Linked DNA regions of Stegostoma tigrinum. The main gene of each other region encodes a partner of the protein of the gene in region 2 in a complex. Links are inferred from orthologs where the notes say so. Each region holds a gene or a part of one and is shown on either strand. Other genes may lie near its edges. The genes, in order: drc1, ccdc135 and efcab2.

The links.
Region 1: ccdc135 (region 2) and drc1 share a complex: the UniProt entries of both Homo sapiens proteins name them as parts of the nexin-dynein regulatory complex. The link is inferred for Stegostoma tigrinum from reciprocal best matches to the Homo sapiens genes DRC7 and DRC1.
Region 3: ccdc135 (region 2) and efcab2 share a complex: the UniProt entries of both Homo sapiens proteins name them as parts of the nexin-dynein regulatory complex. The link is inferred for Stegostoma tigrinum from reciprocal best matches to the Homo sapiens genes DRC7 and DRC8.

The regions. Positions count from the first base shown.
Region 1 is NC_081357.1:129,135,588-129,143,404, reverse strand, and holds the start of drc1 (dynein regulatory complex protein 1), read left to right. Parts: upstream 1-4,789; 5' UTR 4,790-4,923; coding exon 4,924-5,045; intron 5,046-7,817. UniProt on the Homo sapiens protein: Component of the nexin-dynein regulatory complex (N-DRC) a key regulator of ciliary/flagellar motility which maintains the alignment and integrity of the distal axoneme and regulates microtubule sliding in motile axonemes.
Region 2 is NC_081363.1:81,622,906-81,630,203, forward strand, and holds the start of ccdc135 (dynein regulatory complex subunit 7), read left to right. Parts: upstream 1-4,234; 5' UTR 4,235-4,320; intron 4,321-7,298. UniProt on the Homo sapiens protein: Component of the nexin-dynein regulatory complex (N-DRC) a key regulator of ciliary/flagellar motility which maintains the alignment and integrity of the distal axoneme and regulates microtubule sliding in motile axonemes.
Region 3 is NC_081362.1:86,343,344-86,350,933, forward strand, and holds the start of efcab2 (dynein regulatory complex protein 8), read right to left. Parts: upstream 3,038-7,590; 5' UTR 2,442-3,037; coding exon 2,417-2,441; intron 1-2,416. UniProt on the Homo sapiens protein: Component of the nexin-dynein regulatory complex (N-DRC), a key regulator of ciliary/flagellar motility which maintains the alignment and integrity of the distal axoneme and regulates microtubule sliding in motile axonemes.

The DNA.
Region 1 (7,817 bases), on a different chromosome or scaffold from region 2:
TTTCCTTCTGATACGGAATGTTCAAGGTTGCCCATTTTCTTATTCACAATGAATTTACTGAGGAACAGGTGGGATATGGAAAAAGATGGGCCATCTCATTACACTTGGATGACAGTTAAAAGTGCATCAAGCAGTTCGGGGTTGGTCTAGATTTTTTAAAAATCTAGTGAATTTTCCTTGTCACTAACCAATTTGAGTACTATTGGATGAGATTGTGCTTTCACTTTGAGAAAGAAGTAATAATCTTAAATGTTAAAACAATGAATTTTCTTTCCTGTAAGCCTAAAATACCACTATAGTTTGTAGATGCCTTTAGGTGAAGCTTATTTTTGGAGAACATTGACAGAACTGCATAATTTGATTTAAAACTTGTGAATGTCTTAAATTTTGATCACTACCTGTTAGCTGAGATTTAACAATAAAAGTGAAATGAACTTGTTAGCTGGTTATTGAATTGATTTAAATGCAACTTTTTTCATCATCTAAAACAGCCTCGAAGACACTCTGATAGAATTGATTTCAAATTGTTTATTGCCAATCTTGGGTATTTCAAGACGTCTGTGATTTATCATACACACACTTCACTTTTTAAATTAATTTTAGTGTGGCATATGAACATCATCAGTAACAAATTTTCATGCATGTTTTGATCTCCTCTTATGTTTTAAATCTCATTTTAATTAAGACTTACTAACATTTATTTTGAATTGCTAAAAATTGGGAGGGATTTGGTCCAAACTTCTCAACCACCTCATCATTTGCATCCCTCTGTGACAGTGCAGGGCATGGGTATGCCAAAGCCTTTGTTTTCTTTGCTTGTCTGAGTTCTGATCTCTGATTAGCTGAATTTTTGCATACATAATATTTGAGAATACCCTTATTTAGGTCACCTTCCTAATTTTAAATAAAAGTTAAAATATCTCATCAGTATTACACAACTTGTGATAGTAGATGCCAACTCTAAAGTACATGAGAGTTGCCAGAAGTAACTTAATGATTTTCATAACTAAAACAAATTTGTCTGAATGTTTTGGGTGAGGAAAATATTTTGCTTTGTACAACAGGATCGCCACAAATACTTCCTTTTTCGTTGATCATAATTTGCAAATCAGCAAGCAAGTGTCATTGAATGTGATGAAAGGCACAAGGGAGGAAACTGAATAACTGCTTCACTTTCTAATTAGAGGTTCCTTCATTCGGAGGAAGACCTACCTTATTTTCTTTTTGTGGGATGACTGTTTTTTGAAACCAGAAGTTTATTCTTGGGTGCAACAAGTTTTTTTGACATGTAATATTTAATTGTTTGTCTTAATTGGTATTGTCAGTGCACTCTGTCATCCTTTGCACAATTGAATTTAATTTGCTTTTAATTGGCTTTTTGTAGATACATTTGTGAAAAAAAGTTATGAACCTCTGTTCTAAAGGGGCAGAATTTGAAAGTGCCTACATTCCAGTAGTGTTCTGGTTATGATCTTGTGGCAAACTGGCAAAACATTACCTTGTGACTTAATTATATTGTTTGTTTGTAATAGGACCATTTAAAACTGCAGCTGAATAATTAAATGATCATAGTATTCAAATTAAGGTTTTGTTTGATTACACTAATTGATTTATTGTACAGAAATATTTCACTACAACTGACCACAATTTAATCTTGTTTCATGATGACTAAATATCTAATATGCCTTGACTTGATATTAATGTTAATGAGGAAACATTTTTGAAGAGCAAGTTGGGAAATTCCTTGCTGCCTTTACTTGAAACACCCAGTCTACCTCATTTTTACCTTTTTTATTAGAATAACAATGGGATGACTGATTAGTGGAATCAGTAACCTAATGGTACTAATTCTATAAAGATCATTTAAAAAGCCCTTGCCTGCCTTTCCACACCCCCCCCCCCCCCAATCATTATGGTTTTGTTATTTTTGTAAAGAAATATTGTAAGCTGTGCACATGCACTTCATTCTAAACTCTGTATGCAGGTCTGCGTACGCACTCTGAGCAAATTTGGTGCTGAAAACCAAGTGTATGCTGATTCACAGAACTGCATGAAGCGGCAGCTTAGTACTTGTAAAATTTAATTAGCTTACTGTCAAGAAGTACAAGGCTTTATTGTGACACATTGCATGATTTTGTAATCCCCAAATGAGCTGATTCATAATCAAAATGCTAATGTACTTGTTCAAAACTCAGTAAAATAGGATTCACTTGCATTGCAACCTCTGTAAGGTACACTTTCTTGATAATTGTTCTCTTTTGGTCTATGTTTTAAGTTATTAAAAGAAAACACTTTTTTAGGTGCTGTCTTCTTCAGATGAAGTAATGATCTACATGATTAAGTACAAAGTTCACAATCCTGTTGTATGCATATTATTGCTCCCAGAAAGCTGTTTAAAAATGTACCTGAAGTAATTCATCTGGTATGCTGTGTGCAAATTTGACAGCTTTCTTGTGTCTAAGTTTTTTTTTATATTCAGTTGGTCAGATTACTGACATATCACTCACCAGTCTCATTTTTAACTGAATTTATTGAGAATGCTACATTGTCATATCTACTGGTCATTATTTCACCTGAAGTAGTGCACTAAGTACATCTCTAATGTAGAATCCCTCTTCTGCTGTGACCATCGGAATAAAAATGTATGACTGCTGTTGGATGAGGTCCAGTGGTGGTTTTTGGTTTGTAAAATGCTACCAAGTTATTTATTGTAAGGATAAACATTGAATATTTAATAAAACTGAAGGAAAAAGTGGTCTGATTTATATTGTCTCATACAATCTGATAACTGAAGTACTCAAAATTACATGATTTATTGAAAAAAAAACCCTTTTCACACCCTTTTTAAAAATTTCTTGATTGTAAAGCATGTTAAGATTTGTCATCGTGGGGAGGGGGAGGGGTATCCTGAACTTGATTTAAATAAAACTACATGCATAACTTCTATATACCCCCAACTGTAACAGATTTTACTGAACTATTCAGTAGTAATTTTCTATTAGTTTGAATTTTGTACTGTGGATGTTGTGCTCTGTTCCTGGTGCATCGCATCTTTTTTTTGCAACTGGCCATACTAATTAACAGGAGCTCTTGATCTGTAGTTCTAATTCCCATTAATGCCACTTTTGTTTTCATGGTGGAAGCCTGGGCAGGGGCTGTTAAACATCTCCTACATGGTGGTGGTCATAGATTTGGAAGGTGTTGTCTTAGAATCTTTTGAACATCTACAGTACATCTTTTTGAGACAACATATTGCTACTGAGTATCAATGGTTGAGGGACTACACTAGTCAAGTCAGGAGTGTTCCATCTCCCCTGACTTCTGCCTTTTTTGTAGATGGTGGACAGAATGTGATGAGTCAGAAGGTGATTTATCACAGTAATCCTAGCATCTGACCTGTTCTTGTAACCCCTGTTTTACGTAGCAACTGGCTAACAGTAGCCTGAGGATTACTATTGACTAATGGGAGATTTTGGACATAGTAATGCCATTGAATGTCAAGGGCTGGTGGTTATTGGAGATGGTCCAGTGGTAGTATGGCTATTGCCCAAATCTTGTTGCCTTTTGGGTATGGCCTAAATCTGCTGGAGGTGTCATGAATGGGGCTGAACACTAGTTAATAAGCATCCCTAAGTTTTTGTTTTTTTTTGGTGACTCTCCCTCCCATCCTCGTGAAGCAGCTAATGATGGCGAGGCTGAGGACGCTTTTCTCTTCTCTACTGGAGTTCGTGGGAGATGTCCTAGAGCTGAGAAGACTATCACTAACCAAAGCCTTCCTATCACGTGATAATGGGAACTGCAGATGCTGGAGACTGCTGTGTTGATCCAGCCTCATTTTATTACCTTCCTATCACGTGCTCAGTTACGACTCTAACAGTGGTATAACTTCCTCCTGATTACCTTTTTACTCTAGTTTTGGTAGGGTTCCTTTTATTAACTATCTTCCTTTGGTGTAGTAATGATTTGAAATTTTCAAAATACTAATCAAAGAAAATAGCGGAAAAGTACAGACTATCCTCAGCAGTTTGTGTTCATATGCTAAAAATGTGGTACCCGTAGCACTGCTTAATACGTCAGTTTTCCTCTTATTCTACCTGACTTCTTCTATTTTCCCCCTAGCACTATGCTGTGCTATGTCTGCCTCCAGCAGCTCCAGTTCTTGCTCTCCAAAGCCTAACCTTTTTTTTGTATAGGTGTCGTTACAAGCATCCATTTCTCCTCCCCTACCCTTTCAGAATTCATTTTATGCTGCTTTGAAGAAAGAAAATTGAGACATCATCTCCTTTACCTTCCCCTCCTTATTTCTCCCTGCCTACAACGCTTCCAACCTCTCCCCTGCACTGGACTCAAATCATTAATACAATTAATTTCCCCTATTAGACTGTACTCTTGAACTGAGCAACTAACAATTGCTATTCTGTTTAAAGTCACCCATTTTTGTCTTAGTATTGCTAATGGTCCTTTCATTCCCTGAGCGGCTCTAGGCCTGAAACGTCAGCCTTCCTGCTACACCTTTTCTTATCAGAATCTGCAGTTCCCACTATCTCTCAATAAACTAGAGCCATACAAAGTTTTTAAACAATTTTAGAATGTTGTGGGGAAGTGGAGGTGTACGTTACCTTAAAGCCTTTCTGTCAGCTCTCTAAAGGACTCGCTCATTAACCCCCCTTTCTCTTACTTCAAGCCTAAATCATTGTGGCCGGATTGTGTTGCTCTATCTCTCCGGCCAGGCAACTTGGTGACGTCACGGTCTCCTGGCGACCGCCGTCTCCTAGCGACGGGCATCAACCGTCTCCCGCAGGCCCAGCGGGGAACCGGCCGCTCCCGCTCCTTACCGTCTCCCGCAGGCCCAGCGGGTACCGGCCGCTCCCGCTCTGGTCCTTACCGTTTTCCGCAGCCCCGGCGGGAAACCAGCTGCTTACCATGTCGGACACACTTATCGTTCAAGCCAATGAATCGGCCGTCAACGTCAACTCCGATGTCGCCGAGGAGAGAATCGCCGCCCGCCGCATTCGGATTGCCCAGCGGCTGGAGGAGAAGAGACGGTGAGGGGGGGGCGGCGATGTGGGGTGGATGTACTTGGGTGTGTGTGGGGGGTGGAGGTGTTTGGGTGAATGGGTGGGCGTGTGTGTGGGGAGGGGAATGTGGGGTGGATGTGTTCGGGTGTGTGTGGGGCAGGGAGGTGGATGGGTGGGTGTGTGTGTGTGTGGGCGGGAGTGTGGGGGTAGGAGGAATACCTCTTCCAAGTGTTTAAGGATAATGGATATCCAAAGAACTGGGTCAGGAGATACCTACAGGAACAGCATCAGAAAGATTCTACATGCCGGACACACTCATCACACTGCCCTACGTCAGGAACACATCAGCAAAACTCACCACAAGACTTCCACGACTGCTGGGCATCAGAGTGGTACACAAACCCACATCAACCCTACGACAAGGGCTCACCCAAACTAAAGACCCACTCCCCGCCATGGACAGGACCAATGTCATCTACAAGATCCCCTGCAGAGACTGTGAGAAACACTACGTTGGACAAACAGGGAGAAACTAACAACAAGAGGACATGAACACCAACTGGCTACAAAAAGACACAAACAATACTCACTCATCTCAATCCACGTGGACAAGGAGAACCACCAATTCGACTGGGAAAACACCAGGATCCTGGGACAGGCTAGACAGAGACAAGCATGAGAATTCTTGGAAGCATGGCACTCCACAAAGCAGGCTATTAATAAACACATTGAACTCGGCCCCAAATACATTCCACTACGGAGAAAACCTGGAAGTGAGGCAATCCCTTGCAACGGACCCCTGAGTTTAAACGCCAGGCGGGAAAACACACTGACACTTCATCAGAGGCTGCATTGACGATGTTACCAAGCATGGTAACGAAACATGTGCAGGAGAACAAACCAGCTCGCCGAGCCAACCAACCTTAAAACGTTGGGTCTATGTGAGCCTGACTTCACACATTCAAGCTTCTTTTTTGCAAAAAAAAACAAAGCTATTTACTCACATTTCGATGCAGCAGCCAGGTTTACAACACCCTTCCCAAGAGAAACAGGACCGAGCAAATCCCTCTTAAGGCACATATCATCGCATTGCCATATCTTGTGTGTCCTTCTGATGCTGTGAACCAAATTGGTTAGGTCTACGATTATTACCTGTTGGTCTATAACAAAATATGGAAGATGAACTTAATCAATGAATGTATCTCTGCATTCAATCACTAATTCTGTTGGACCTTCCACTTCCTCTTATGAGAGGATGCTGTAAATCAAGTTACAGTTCTGGTCACCGCATTATAACAAGGATGTGGAAGCTTTGGAAAGGGTGTTTAGGAGATTTACTAGGATGGTGCCTGGTATGGAGGGAAGGTCTTACGAGGAAAGGCTAAGGGACTTGAGGCTGTTTTTGTTAGAGAGAAGAAGGTTGAGAGGTGACTTAATTGAAACATATAAAATAATCAGAGGGTTAGATAGGTTGGATAGGGAGAGCCTTTTTCCTAGGATGGTGATGGCGAGCACGAGGGGGCATAGCTTTAAATTGAGGGGTGAAAGATATAGGACAGATGTCAGAGGTAGTTTCTTTACTCAGAGAGTAGTAAGGGAATGGAACGCTTTGCCTGCAACAGTAGTAGATTCACCAACTTTAGGTACATTTAAATCGTCATTGGACAAGCATATGGATATGCATGGAATAGTGTAGGTTAGATGGGCTTCAGATTGGTATGACAGGTCAGCACAACATCGAAGGCCGAAGGGCCTGTACTGTGCTGTAATGTTGTATGTTCTAATTGTTCACTTCACACCTACGTACAGAGGACCAGCTTTAACATAATGAACTGTAAAGCTTATTACATTCGGTCATAAATATTAATTCAGTATTTATAGAAAGCATTTCAGTATAAAGAGCACAATTTTCACATTCCTTTATCCAGCTAATTGAGTCACAGAGTTCTTACAGCACAGAAATTGGCCTTCCAGTCTGACGTGTCCACAGCAGTTAACAAACCTCCATCTATTCTAATTTCATTTTCTCACATTTGGTTCATCGAAACAGTTCTTAAATGTCTCTCCTGTTTCCATCTCTACCATACTTTAAAATGGTGAGTTCCAGCTACCTCCAACCCTCTTGATGCCCTCCCCAACCCTCTTGATGCCTATTATTATTTGCTATTACCCACAGTTTTTACAGACATTGTTATTATTTTGTTTAATGTCTGTTCTGACTGCTGATAGCGTAGCTGCTGTGCTTTTAGCCTGAGTTCATGCGTCCCATTTCCTTTTGCAATATGACTGAAAATGTAACCCTTAAATAACTGAAACACTTTCAGCTCCATTGCCCTCAGCATAAATTCTGTTTTGGCACATTTAAGATTATAATCGTAAGACATAAGAAATAGGAGAAGGAGTAGGCTATTTGACCCCTCGAGCCCACTCTGCTATTCAGTAGAATCATGGCTAATTGGACACTTCTTGCCCAATTTCCTGCCTTTCCCCATAACCTTTGATTCCTGTACCAATCTATTGCTGTTCAGTTCAGCAGAAAATAAGTTTATTCTAAAAACAAGCATTTATTACCATGATAGGATTCAAGTATTTGTCTGGTTGCTGCCCTGATAATTTATATTATTAAGTAATTAATTATTATTCAAATAAGTATGTAACATAGTCACGCAGAGACAGCATGTCTTCATGAATGGGAAATGATGCCTGACAAATTTATGATAATTCTTTGTGGAGATAACAAGCAGGAAGGATGCAGGGGAGCCAGTGGATGTAAATTATTTGGATTTCCAAAAGGAGTTC
Region 2 (7,298 bases):
TCCAGACTAGAATCACATGCCCTTTCTTGGGATTTATGTTTAGGAATTACAGTCAACCTTTCAAGAAGTCAATAGCATCACATAATACTTTGTGCCTTTTCTCTTAAATGTCACAGTCAGTTTTCAGAACTAAAGCCTGCCAAACTAAACAAAAACAGTGATGCAAAGTGACTTCAAAAGGAAACTGTGACTATTGGGGAGGTCCATGACTGAAGTCTGAGGACCTTGACCAATTCTCCTTCGACCTGTCGAATTTGGGGAGATGCTGAAACAACAGCTTACATTTACATTAGCACCACAACTATCATTAAACAATCCCAAAGCACTTCACACAAATGTAATCAAACAAAATTCGACAATGAGCCACTAAGGAGATAGTAGGAAAAATTACCAAAATCTTGCTCAATGAGATAGATTTTAATAAGTGTTTTAAAGACAATGGGAAAAATGGAGCACTGCAGGGAAGAAATAGAACCCACTACTGATAGTTGAAGGCACAGCTGGCAAACATGAGTTATTATAAACAAGGATCCCCAAGAGACCAGAAATGGGAGAAAGCAGAAGTCTCTGGGAATAGATTGAAAATCAGACAGGCATGTATCTTCAAAACAGTTACATGATGTTATGACATGTAACATTCCAGCACAAAGGCATCAGCCTTGCTTTCAGTCACTCACTCAAGACAATAGTTTGTTCAGCCAGTCAGTTACTCAATGTACAATGAAACCTTCTTCAAGTCCCATCTGAACCTCCTGCCCTGACCTCAAAATTGTGCCCTTTGGTTATTGATACCTGTACTGAGGAGAAAGATTTCTTCCTGTCCACCTTATCTATGTACCCTAGAACTTTGTATACTTCAGTCAAGTCCCCACTCAGCTTTTTCTGCTTCAAGGAAAACAACCTCAGACTATCTAATCTCTCTTCTTAGCTGATTTAGTCCAGCCCAGGTGACATCCTGGTGAATCTCCTCTGCACCCTCTCAAGTGTAGCCACATTCATCCTATAGTATGGCAACCAGAACTGCACATAGTACACCAGCTGTGGCCTAACTAATGTTTTATATATCTCCGTAATAAACTCCTTGCCCTTGTATTCAATGCTTTTGCAAATAAAGGTAATTATCTCTTATGTCTTCTTAACCATCTTATTTTTTTTCCTACTTCCTTTAAGGATCTATTTTTATGCACACAAAGGATGCTCTGATACTTTGTACTTCCTAGGATACTACTATTCTTTGTGTACTTCCTTACCAGGTAGTCCTCCCAAAATGCATCATTTTTCACTTTGGAGGATTAAATTTGATTTGCCACTGATCTCCCCATCTGTCCTGTTAAATGCTTTCCTCCTTGCTATTTATCCTACCACTAGTTTTTGTGTTATCTGCAAACTTACTGATTAACCACCTGCATTCATGTCTAGATCATTAACGTACACTACAAACAGCGAGGGATCCAGCACCAAACCCGGTGGTATGTCATTGGACACAGGCTACCAGTTACAAAAACACTCTTCAACATCATTTTCTACTTCCTGCCATGTAGCAAATTTTGGATCCAATTTGTGAAATTGCCTTGTAGGATGTTTGCTTTTAAATTTCTTTACCAGTCTGCCATGCAAGAACTTATCAAGGGCCCACCTGCAGTCCATGTAGACAACATCAACAGCTGTACCTTCATCCAACACTTAGTAACCTCCTCAAAAAAATGCAGTCAAATATGATCTCCCCTGACAAAGCCATGCTCATGAGCCTTGATTAATCCTTATCTCCCCAAGTAGAGATTATTTCTGTTCCTCAGAAACTTTTCCAATAGTTTCCCACCACTGATCTTAGACTCTGGCCTGTAGCTTGTTTATCCCTACTACCCTTCTTGAATAATGGTATTACATTAACAGTCCTCCAGTACTCTGGAATCTCTGCTGTGGCCAGAGAAGATTCGAAAATTAATGTCAGGGCACATTGTAATGTCCTCCTTTGTGTCCCATGGCAACCTGATATTCATTTCATCTGTGCTTGGGGATTTATCTACTTTCAAGACCACAAAAACTGCTAATACCTCTTTCTCAGTGTCAATTTGTTCACATATCACTGTCGCCCTCCCTGATTTCTATGCTTACCTCGTCATTCTCTATAGTGAATCGAGATTCAAAGTAATCTTCTAAATCCTCAGTTATGTCTTCCGGCTCCACATGTAGATTGCCACTTTGGTGCCTAATTGGCCCTACTCTTTCTCTTGTTAGTTTCTTCCCCCTAAAATACTCAAAAAAACACCTTTGGATTTCCTTAATGCTACCCGCCAGTGCCTTCTCATACTCCTTCCTCGTTCTATTATTCTTTCAGTAACTCCCTCTCAATACTCTTCCAGGTCACACATTGTTTTCAGCCTTTGGTATCTGCCATAACCTTCTTGTTTGTCTCCCCTCATCCAACTCTACACATCAGGTTACTCTGGGCTTGTAGTTTCCACCCTTCACCTCATGGGAATATGTTAGCCTTGTGCTTTCATGTTTACCATTTTAAATGTCTCCCGCTATTTTCTTGCAAGTAGCTGCTCTCAGTTCACTTTGGCCAGATCCTGTCTTATTAAAATCAGCCTTCCCCATTTCAGAACCTTTAGTTCCAGTTCATCTTTGTCTTTATTTGTAATTACCTGGAATTATGGTTACTATCACCAAAATGCTTCATCATTGACATACCTTCCACTTGCTCAGCTTCGTTCCTTCAAAGTAAATCCATCGCCATCCTTCTGAATCAGACTTGCAAAATGCTAGCTTAAGTAATCTGCCAGACACATTTTAAGAATTCTATCCCCTCTAAGCCTTTCACAGTTAACTGCTATGTGAATTGACTTTGTCTGTCTGGCAGATGGGAGAGTGAAAATTGTCATATACATTAAGCAAAATGAAATAACAATGAAAGACCTCTCTGCATACTGGTGTGAAAAAAATCTAGGAGCAGGAGTTTCCAGGAGCAGAAGTAGTAAACTCAGCTCCTCAGACTTGCATTGCCATTCAGTACAATCATGCCTGATCTCAACTATCCCTCAACTCCACTTTCCTGTTCACTTTCCATAATCCTTCAATCAAGTACTAATTAAAAATCTGACGAGTTGCTCCTTAGATTTATTAATCTAACCTCTCATCTTGTTGGTCTCAGTAATCTTATCCTGCTAGCCAACACTTCTTTGGAAATTGGGACTTTCTTTGCTTTTGATATCCAGAAGCTCCTCCCTATCAATTTTTCATGATTTTTCCGAGTTTGAGGAACACCCCTGTTGTTCAGCGCTAGGGAAGTTTGTGCCCCAATGTGTCTTGGGAGATAAAATGATAAAGATAAGGGAAGCTACGTGCACATATGTTGTTGAAAATAATTATTTTTGCATTGGTAGGGTTTTGAGGGCGGCATCAACACCCCACCTCTGTCATCTCACCGTAGGAAAAATCAAGTTGTGGTCAAGATCATCTCTTAAAGTGAACAATCTGTGAGGCCTAATTGGCCTGAGCAGGAAGCCACCAAACATGCACTGTCTGTCACCCAAAAGCTACCACCAGCAATTTATGAAAACAATTTTAAAATCTGTTACCACGTGTCCTTTTTCCTGGCTAGTCTCGACCATTTGTAAACTTGAGCTCATCCAAATTCTATTTCCCCTATTCCCATATCAAAACCCCTTCCCCCTCATCCCTTGCATTTAGTGACCTACAGTAGCACCCGCTCAAGTCACATCTTGACTTTAAATTTCACTTCCATGTTTTCAAATTTATCATACCCTTGCTGTTCCTTGTCTCCATAATCTGCTCTGTCCACACAACCCACAGCAAGATATCCGCACCTCTTTATTTCAGACCTCTTGCGAAGCCATAATTTTAATCAATTATTCCTGCAGTTAACTTGGCCCCGAGCTCTGGAATATCCATCCTAAATCCATCCACTCATTCATTAAAACCTACCTTGTTGACAAAGCCTTTGGTCTCCTAACTTGATATATTATGTGGTTCTCGTTGTCATGATTTATCTCACAGTCCCCCCTACCCTGATGTGTTTTGTGATGTTTCATATTAAAGGTGTTATATGAATCTATGTGGTTGCTATTGTTGTAATCTCTGGCCTGCTGTCTTGATAGTGGTCTCAGTTTTGACCGGAAAAGACTACAATGCCCAGAGTGTCCTGCCTGTTGCCATGGTTGTTGCTAGGGACTGGTTGCTAAGCACTGGTTGCTAATTAAACTGGTTTCCAATCAACATCACAGGCCTGAGGCACTTGCACCTTCAAGGAAAAGCCTCAGAAAAAGCGACAGTTTAGACTGTTTGAGAAGCACAAAGGTAAAGGATCATCATTAACATTATTTCAATTTATTATGTATTTATTCTGTGTACTTCTTCACACAATTTTTAATTTGGTGCATGAACAAACTAGTTGTTCTTTTTACTTGTAACCTAGGAAGGTAGCTCAGTCTAAAAGTGCTGAGAGTGTGTAGTTGCACAGAGTTTGATCTTGACAATATAAAGAACAAGTTTCTACAAATAGGGAGGAAGTGGTTCATTTTTGCCGCTGTTTCAGGAATAAATGAGAGAGATAAGAGAAGCTATGTGCACCTGCATTTTTGAAAAGGATTATTTTTGAATTGATAATTACTCACCTTAATTTATGGGGTTTGAGGGTGGCACCAGCTCCCAGCGGGACCCCTAGAAAACAATCTGGCTCTTCTTCCAGGGGGAGAATGATACCAGGCGGTCTTTTGCACCCTCTGGAGAAGGCTTCGGTTTAGCATCTCATCCCGAGAACAGCACCTCTTGCTCTTGACTGAGCCTGGAGTGTCAAATTAGCTTATCTGCTCAAATCTCTGAAATGCCCTGCACCAAGAGGAAGCCGCTGATATTGCCACAGCTTAGTGCCTGGGCCACTGACCTCATCACAGGGAAACGAGAGGAAGTGGTGTGATCTGACAGAAGTTGCATAGGTGACAAATTGCATTTGTGAGTCAAGGATTGAGAGATTTCTGGCAGGTCCTCAGTGGTTCCTTGAAAGGAGTCATTCGCATAAAAGTTCAATGCAACTATCACCTTGAAAACCATCAGGACAGGATACCATGCACTCCTTCAGGTCTCACACCGGATGAAATTAACATGAAAATCCCACCTTCTCAACCTTACTCCTCACCTTTGTTATAGTGCAACAGTAGTGGCAATAATCCTGGTGTGACTGGATTCATCAATCACATTTCAAAGCATCTATGCCAGGAACATAAGAAACAGAATAGGCTTTTCATGATAAGAGCAATCAGCCTTCATATCCGTCACAAATGACCATTTGGCACAGTCCTCCATACAGTGAGTCATGGAGCACTCCAACAAAGAAGGCCAAGGAATGCCTCTCCATGACCCTTTGGCTTATTTCAGTAATGCACCTCCAGTAATGACATAAACAGAATACAGGAGATTGTACGTGCTGCATGACTATTGAGAAGTTGTCCTCCCAACCCCACTTCTCCTAAGAAAGGCGCCATTGCATATAAGATCACATCAACGAATACCTGCGGGTCAAGGTGATAGAGAATCAGTTTCATGCCCTTGTGCAGCCTTTGCCATTTAGCAGTATTCTGTGCTGAAGGTCACCTGTGATTACTTCTGCTTCACAAAGATGACTATCTTCAATCTACAACAACAAATGACATGGTCAAGATTGCTTGTGACCAGCACTTGTACCCCATACTGTTGCACAGGATGCATTTCACGTGCATGACATTATGATCATAGATAACATCAACCTGCACTAATTGCCCCATCAGTGCAGTTATACCTTGAAAGGCCTCAGGTTATTCACAAATGGAACCCATGTGTGGAGACAGAGTAAAACCTCTGACTCTACTCTGGATGTGGTTGCACCAATATTCTGTTTGCACTTCGCATCGAGGGGTCAGTTGAATATTGGACTCAATACAGGTCATACTTGGCACAGTGAGTCTTAGGCTCAGCCTGGTAATCAAAGGGTGCAGCCGAACCTCCATGTCACTTTCCTCCTATGATCCCCAGCATTGAGTTCCTCAACTTCCCTAGCACAGTCTTCCCTGATAAAACCACCGTGCTCTGTTGACTTTCATTCTGTTAATCCTCAGTACTGATCATGGTCTACCAGCTGATTGACTTTAAAGGGCAGCCCAACTGATGACTGACCGGACCCTTTAATGATCTGTGTGCAGCCCACCACCCCCCTACCCCCCCCCCCCCCCCCATTAACCAATTGTGAAACTCCTTACTATTTCTATGGGATCTGCAGGACTGAATGTGGCTTTCTCCCCAGACTTCAGTGAAATGGACCCTTGACTATGTCTGCCCCAAGCAGGCAGCTGACTGTGATCAAGCCCCTGGACTCAGATTAGGTGATGCCCTTGTCTTACTGTACTGGGACCCGCTGGCTGACTTGAATCAGAACCACTCTTTGAGGTAACTTATGCTGGGTGTTTCTCCTGACCTGGGAGGCCACACTGACCCAGGTGGCACCCTTTAACCATTCAATATTTACCATCTGCTGGAGTGTAAGGATTCTCCCAGACTTGCTGGAATCAATTCCCAGGTACTGACCTCATTAATGGCCAACATCTACCAAGCTGGTGTCATGGCCTCCTCTGGTCCTTGGGGGAAGAGGACAGTCTTCTTCTGTTAACCCAGTCAACCAGGCCCTTCAGGTCCCTGTCTGCAAAGAGTGGTCTCATTTTTCCCTTGGGCCATCATTTTTCCCTTACCCGCCGTGTCTGGAGCAAATAATCGTGCAGGACAGCTCCAGACCGACCATGTGCATAATGGCCTTGAAGTCATAAATCACATCCTGAGACAAACAGACAGGCAGGAGACCCATGGGGGGAGAAACTTTTAAAAATCATAATCAACAGAGAAAAATTATGACGAAATCAAATGGGACTGAAGTCTTATAGGTTCACTGGATTTGATCGCCTGTGTCAGAGGGTCTAAAACGAAGCAGCTTCAGAGATAATGGATGCATTTGTTGAAAGTTTCCTAAAAATTCCTGGATTCTTGAAGCGGTCCTAGCTGATTGTAAAACCCGAATGTAAAATCTCCAGTCAAGAGACCAGTGAGGTAGAAAGTAGAAAATTAAAGATCACATAGAATCTCATAAAAACCTATAAAATACTAACAGGACTGGGCAGGATAAGTGCAGGAGGGATGTTCCTGATTATCAGGTCGTCCAAAACCAGGGACACAGTCTAAGGATATGGGATTGGCCATTTAGGAATGAGATTAGGAGAAATTCCTTCACTAGTGAGCCTGTGGAAATCTTTACA
Region 3 (7,590 bases), on a different chromosome or scaffold from region 2:
TCTGTGACACAATTTTGTTGATAGCATTAAAAGACAACATGTTCTGGTCTTTGAAATAATTCCAAACTCTTCATCAACACCATTGAATGGGATAATAGTGATTTTCTTTTTGGCAAGATTATAAATCCCCACAGAAGTGACATGATAAATTGCTTTTTATTGCTTTGGGAATAGCATAGCTCTCTGTCCTTAAGGTTCTGGTCTCTGATTGTTGTTCAAGAAAGAAATTGAAAATGAATTGCATACTACCAGCAAAAGAGGGAATAAAATGGCAAAATATAAAAAGCGAATTTTAATATTTCATGTACTCTTTTCTTAATAGCAGTGTAGAAATAGTTTTTGGTAGTACAGAACCTGAACATTGCCTAAAAAGGACACATTATTTTCAGGTTTTTCATTTTGCACTCCTCAGGACAATTCACAAGAATATTGGAAAATAAGGGAAAACATTTATACTGAATGATGAGAGTGCTGACTGGTTGGCAAGTGGATTCTTGTTAGCAAAGACATTGCCATGGAGAACTTACCAGTTAGATTGTGACTGACAATTAAATGCCAAGACATGTTTAAATTTTAAATCAGGCAATATTACTCTGATTGGTCAAGGCATTTGCCTGAGAAATGAACCACAGAATGGATGTCGCCAGCATTCTCTCTAATTTTTTTTCTGACTGCATGAGCCTCCAAGCCGAATATCTGAAAGGTTTTATCAACAGGTGAAGCAAGCTTTTGAAAGTGGTATCACAAATGCCGTTCACCACTAACAGGATTCTGCCATTAAGCTAAAAAGATGTTTTCCCTGTTACACAAATGAATAATGTGGTAAATGAATTTCAGTGTCAGTGTGGTGCTAGCTATGTGGGCCATGTGTCCTCAAAGCTGGAAAATTATATCAAACAGCAAACCACTTTGGCTGTTGCAACAAATAAGACTGTAATCAACCAATCAACCAGCCCACACTTGCAAAATTCAAAACATGGTGCCAAACATTACATGTGACTCTGCAAATGGACAATATTTGCTACATGATCCTGAATGTGCAAAGAATTATACTGTCAAACATTGTAGGATCATTAGAGATAGTAGGAATTGCAGATGCTGGAGAATCTGAGATAACAAGGTGTAGAGCTGGATGAACACAGCAGGCCAAGCAGCATCAGGGGGGCTCCTCTGACGCTGATTGGCCTGCAGTGTTCATCCAGCTCTACACCTTGTTATTGTAGGGTTATTAGTTGGTTTGTGGCATATGTATGCAAACTGGAAGCTAGAGGGTGCTGGTCTTTGATGCTGGAATATGGACATACACTGTGCGCATTTCAACTGAAGAAAATAGATGATGGCCATTCTCTGGTTCATTTCTCAGGAATATGCGTTGATGAATCAGAGCTAATTTGCCTGGTTTAAAATGTAAACAAATCTTGGTAGTTAACTGTCAGTCACCATTGAACTGGCACATTCTCCATGGCAATTCATTCATTGGGAGACCATTTGCTAATCAATCAACAGTCCCCTCTCATACAGTACAAATATAGTTTCTCCATTACATTGGTATTCTTATGGATGTCACTGGTTGGTGCTAGATAAAACATTTCACAAAAGTGTCCTTCTTGGCTGTACTCAACGTGAAAATTGGGCGTATTTAAATTAAAAGTTAAATTTCATTTACAAATATGATTTTAAAAAATCAGTAAAATGGTGTTTTTAAAAGTACAGCTGCTGGTAAAACAATCAATTTCCTATAAGAATAACCTCCTAGTTAAAAATTCTACAAATCTGACATGAATTATGGCAAATAATATTCACTAAATTGTTCCGAAGAAGGATCACTACTTTAACTCTGCTTTCTCTCCACGGGTGCTGCCAGATCTGTGAGTCTCTCCAGCATTCTGTATGTTCATTGCACTAAACTGTGGCTAGTCAAGCTGGATTTTAAATAAACTCATTTGTCGCCATTCATGCATTTTTGAACAAATATAACGTTTCTGTTTATAATTCGGAAAAGATGATTTTTTTCAATGTGTCGCTCAAGTGGCAGGTGACTCGCTGATATTGATTTCAAAACACCGTGGATTTTAACGCCTCTAGCTTTTTTTTAAAAAAAGTAAGCTGAGGCTCCGCTAGTTTTAATGAAGACGTGATCTTTTTGACAGAGAGCAAAACAAATCACTAGGGGGCTACAGCTCTCCCTGTCTACAAATGATGGGTTAAAATTCTTTCCACATCATCGTCCTCTCAGAACAAAGACCAGAGGTCTCCAGCTGAGCTCCATCTTGAATCTGGGCGGAAAAGATTAAGCTGGAATTAAGCTCCGGGCCTGAAGAGTCCCTTGTTGTTGATGGGTTTTCTATGTGTGTGTCTTATGGAGGTTGCACCATCACCATCGCCATCGCCGACCTTTATCCAAGCTGCTGCTTACCTGCCGCTTCTTTGTCGTCGGCCATATTGTTTCGGATGGTTGCTAAGGAGCGCAGTTGTCAAGGCGGTTGTCAATCGAAGGGAAAGGATGGGGAGACAATGTTGGAGAAATCCCGGTCTCCCTTCTTCTTTTTGCAGCTTTGACGATTTTATATCAAAGCGCTGTTTAACAGATTCGTTGTCTGTAAAATCTCTTTCCTTTAAAAATCTGTTTGAAATCCCTTGAACTCATCGAGGTCTACTGCACAGATAAGGCCCTCTTGACCCTCGGTCCATCCACTCAAAAACAAGCCCCTACCTGTTCTAATTCTATTTTCCCAGCTCTTGGCCCTTAGCCTCGTGTGCCTGGGCACTGCAATTGCACATTTAAATTCTTCAGTGATGCAAAGATTTCTCTCTACCACCTTTACAGGTAATGAATTCCAGATTTTCAACACTCATGGTTCAATAAGGTTTTCCTCACATCCTCTAAACTTCCTGCCCCTATCTTAAATCTATGCTCCCTGGTTATTGATCCCGCCATCAAATCTACAATCTCTTATCTTTATGTCTGCTTCTTAATTGCTGTCTCTCTTGCAATTGTTTGTGAGTGCCATGGAAGGTTTCACTATGATGAAGGCAAGTTGCGTATAAATCCGAGTTGTTGATCTTGTTTTTAATCTTCTATCTTAATGCAGGGAAGGAGGGATATAAACATACATGTGTATTGAAACCCAGACCTAGTGTAGTATTTCTGTCATGATTTTAAAACAAAATGTATTTTTATCCTTCAAATTAAACAATTGTATAACGACATATCTGTACGATATCTATCAGATATATCTGTATATCTGTAACAACATACAGCATCTTTAATAACTCATCACAAGATTTTCACAGGGGCACTCTGAAACAACATAAAAAGATATTAGGGCAAGTGACCAAATTTTTCTCGGTCAAGAAGAGGTAGAAAGAAGGAGTGCCTTACCCTTAAAGAAGAAAAAAGAGCTGAAGAGACAAAGAGGGAGGTAATTCCAGAGCTTAAGTTCTTGTTAATCAAATTCTGAACCACAAATGGTGGAATGGTTAATGTCTGTGATTTTGAAATCCAGCATTAAAGGTGGGTCAAGGTTGCAGAAGGTAGTGAGGTTGAAAAAGATTACAGATATAGGAACAAATCTATGAAGGGATTTGAAACAAGAATAAATTTTAAAGTCAAGAACTTGCTTAACAGTAAACCAGTATAGATCAGTGAGTGCAAGGTTGATGTGATAACAGGATTTGGTGTGAGCTAAGATACAGGAAGCAGAGTTTTGGATGACCTCAAGTTTAGAGGGTAGTCTGTGCAAGAGAGCAGGTAGGAAAGAATTATTCAAATATAGAGATGAGAAAGGAATGGATAAGAGTTTCAACGGCAGGTGAACTCCTGAGTGATGAGTGAAAGTAAATGGTCTAAGTAATGATATCACAGTATAGTTGGAAGCTCATCGTGGGTTCTAATATAACACCAATGTTGCAAACAGTCTCATTCAGTCTCTAGAGAGGGGAATTGGGATCTTTGGCTAGGGAGTGAGGTTAGTTAGCTCATCCAGTACTAACGTAATCAAGAATTTAAAGACATAGTGGGATTGGAAGAGTTTCTGGTGAGGACAGCTGGATGTCATCAATACATCTGGAAATGAATGTGTTTTCAGGTAGCGTTGCAAACGGTATCTTGAGTAGGAAAGTTTTAAGAGAGGCCTGAGGATAGATTATTGCAGGTCACCAGAGGTAATGGTTTGAGAGTGGAATTAAAAGCTGATTTGACTTGCTGGCTGCAACTATTTAGATAAATTTGGAACCCCGTGGGTGAAGTCCCACCTGTTCACATGACAGCAGAGTCATCGGAAGAGGACAGTTAAATCAACTTGCATGGAAGTCTACAGAGAGATTAAAAAAGAAGATAGAGCATAGTTTAACATTGTCACAGTCATACAGCCCTTCACTTATAACTTTGATGAGATAACAAGGTGTAGAACACAGTAGCGCAAGCAGTATTAGAGGAGCAGAAAAGCTGATGTTTTGGGTCTGGACTCTTCTTCAGACCTTCCATCCTCAGACCTTCTATTTCTGAAGAAGGGTCCAGACCCGAAACATCAGCTTTCCTGCTCCTCTGATGCTGCTTTGTCCTGCTGTGTTCATCCAGCTCTACACCTTGCTATCTCAGATTCTCCAGCATCGGCAGTTCCTACTATCTCTAACTTTGATGAGAGTTTTTTTTGATATGGTGTGACAGAAATCTGACAAAGGAATTCAATCATAGCGATCTAGGAAAGATGGATCTTAATTTAGGAGATGGCAACAGTTCCTCAGACAGCAGAGAGGATTTAAAGGAGATGGGGACAGCATCTGAGGAGGCAAAATTGTTCATAATATTATCTTACATAGGAGCCAGGAGAGAAGCTGGGTGGTCAGCAGTTTAGTGGGAATAGGGTTGAGAAAGCAGCATGCAGTTCTACAGGACATCATGGGCTCAGAGAGGGCATGAGGAAAGATATGAGACAAATATGGGACTAGAATAAGGTCAGCTTTACAACATTTGAGAGCATCCAGCTGTGCCCCTGTAGTTTATTTTCTATAATTTCTAAACTGTTCAAATTACTTCAACTTTACCCAGCCTTTGAATTCACATGAATTGCTTACTGTCCTTTTTAAGATAACAGCTCCTCCTTAACACGTCGAGATCCTATTATCTTTTCACCATGGATTTACAAGAAGAACTGCCCAGGTCCCAGGCAGAAGAGGATCTTGTGAAAATGGCAATTAGGAACTTCATTCAAATGCATAAGGAGGTAAAGGAGCAGCAGGCAGGTGATGTGAGGCAATGGCCCTTGTAGCCCAGACGCTGAAGAGCTGCAGCTATGCTATGGAGGTCTTTGCTACCTTAAGATCGTCTGCCTGCCTCTATACATAGGATGATAGTTGCCATGAAGAGCAAGCTGCAACACTCACGGTATGCTGGATAGCATATTGGACTTGCTGTGTATCAACCAAACCATTGATCCTCAGGACTGAAGGCAAAGTCAAAGGGATCGGGGGAACCTTGACCTTAATCCAGGTGCCCCTTCCTCCAGGAGGCACCCTGCTGGAGGAGAAACCACACACGAACCCCTCAGAAGTCTTCAATGAGTACAGCCCAGAAATGCTGGGTCTTCCAGCCCAACCCCGCCTGTGCCTCTCCAACCTGTGAAAGTTTGAGTCAAGGAAGATGCATTTGCCTCTAGCAAGGACACAGTCAGCTTGTTTGGGCCCTCTAGATACAAATGCCCCCAGTGTCACCTGACCAAACCTCCAAGGCCAAATGGCTGCAGTGTAGAGCAGGCTCCCTCTACCCAGTTGTGGCACCTGACACTGCATCGAGATGTAACAGGAAGGAAAGACATGTTGATGGCCTGGGTGACATAACCCTTAATATTAAGCCTCATATTTTTCATAGATGTTAAGATTTTTGCACTAAATCTGTATGTTTCAGTCTCTGGTCTACCCATGTAGCAAAATGTCCACCCTTGTCAGAAGTTTGATGACTAACAAGACAAGCTGCCTGGTTCTGTAACTATGCTAAGAGTCATGGCAAGGCAAGAATGTTGTGATGATACATGTGAGTGTTAAATGAGTGAATATTATGAAAGCAAGTGAACAACTCTGAGATGCAGAGATAATGGGAACTGCAGATGCTGGAGAATTCCAAGATAATAAAATGTGAGGCTGGATGAACACAGCAGGCCAAGCAGCATCTCAGGAGCACAAAAGCTGATGTTTCGGGCCTAGACCCTTCATCAGAGAGGGGGATGGGGAGAGGGAACTGGAATAAATAGGGAGAGAGGGGGAGGCGGACCGAAGATGGAGAGTAAAGAAGATAGGTGGAGAGAGTATAGGTGGGGAGGTAGGGAGGGGATAGGTCAGTCCAGGGAAGACGGACAGGTCAAGGAGGTGGGATGAGGTTAGTAGGTAGCTGGGGGTGCGGCTTGGGGTGGGAGGAAGGGATGGGTGAGAGGAAGAACCGGTTAGGGAGGCAGAGACAGGTTAGACTGGTTTTGGGATGCAGTGGGTGGGGGGGAAGAGCTGGGCTGGTTGTGTGGTGCAGTGGGGGGAGGGGACGAACTAGGCTGGTTTAGGGATGCAGTAGGGGAAGGGGAGATTTTGAAACTGGTGAAGTCCACATTGATACCACATGGCTGCAGGGTTCCCAGGCGGAATATGAGTTGCTGTTCCTGCAACCTTCGGGTGGCATCATTGTGGCACTGCAGGAGGCCCATGATGGACATGTCATCTAGAGAATGGGAGGGGGAGTGGAAATGGTTTGCGACTGGGAGGTGCAGTTGTTTGTTGCGAACTGAGCGGAGGTGTTCTGCAAAGCAGTCCCCAAGCCTCCGCTTGGTTTCCCCAATGTAGAGGAAGCCGCACCGGGTACAGTGGATGCAGTATACCACATTGGCAGATGTGCAGGTGAACCTCTGCTTAATGTGGAATGTCATCTTGGGGCCTGGGATAGGAGTGAGGGAGGAGGTGTGGGGACAAGTGTAGCATTTCCTGCGGTTGCAGGGGAAGGTGCCGGGTGTGGTGGGGTTGGAGGGCAGTGTGGAGCGAACAAGGGAGTCACGGAGAGAGTGGTCTCTCCGGAAAGCAGACAGGGGAGGGGATGGAAAAATGTCTTGGGTGGTGGGGTCGGATTGTAAATGGCGGAAGTGTTGGAGGATGATGCGTTGTATCCGGAGGTTGGTAGGGTGGTGTGTGAGAACGAGGGGGATCCTCTTAGGGCGGTTGTGGCGGGGGCGGGGTGTGAGGGATGTGTTGCGGGAAATACGGGAGACGCGGTCAAGGGCGTTCTTGATCACTGTGGGGGGAAAGTTGCGGTCCTTAAAGAACTTGGACATCTAGGATGTGCGGGAGTGGAATGTCTTATCGTGGGAGCAGATGCGGCGGAGGCGGAGGAATTGGGAATAGGGGATGGAATTTTTGTGGGAGGAGGTGTATTCTAGGTAGCTGTGGGAGTCGGTGGGCTTGAAATGGACATCAGTTACAGACTAAGGGGGTGGCCATGGGCACCCGCATGGGCCCCAGCTATGCCTGCCTCTTTGTAGGTTACGTGGAACAGTCCCTCTTCCGCACCTACACAGGCCTCAAACCCCACCTCTTCCTCCGGTACATTGATGACTG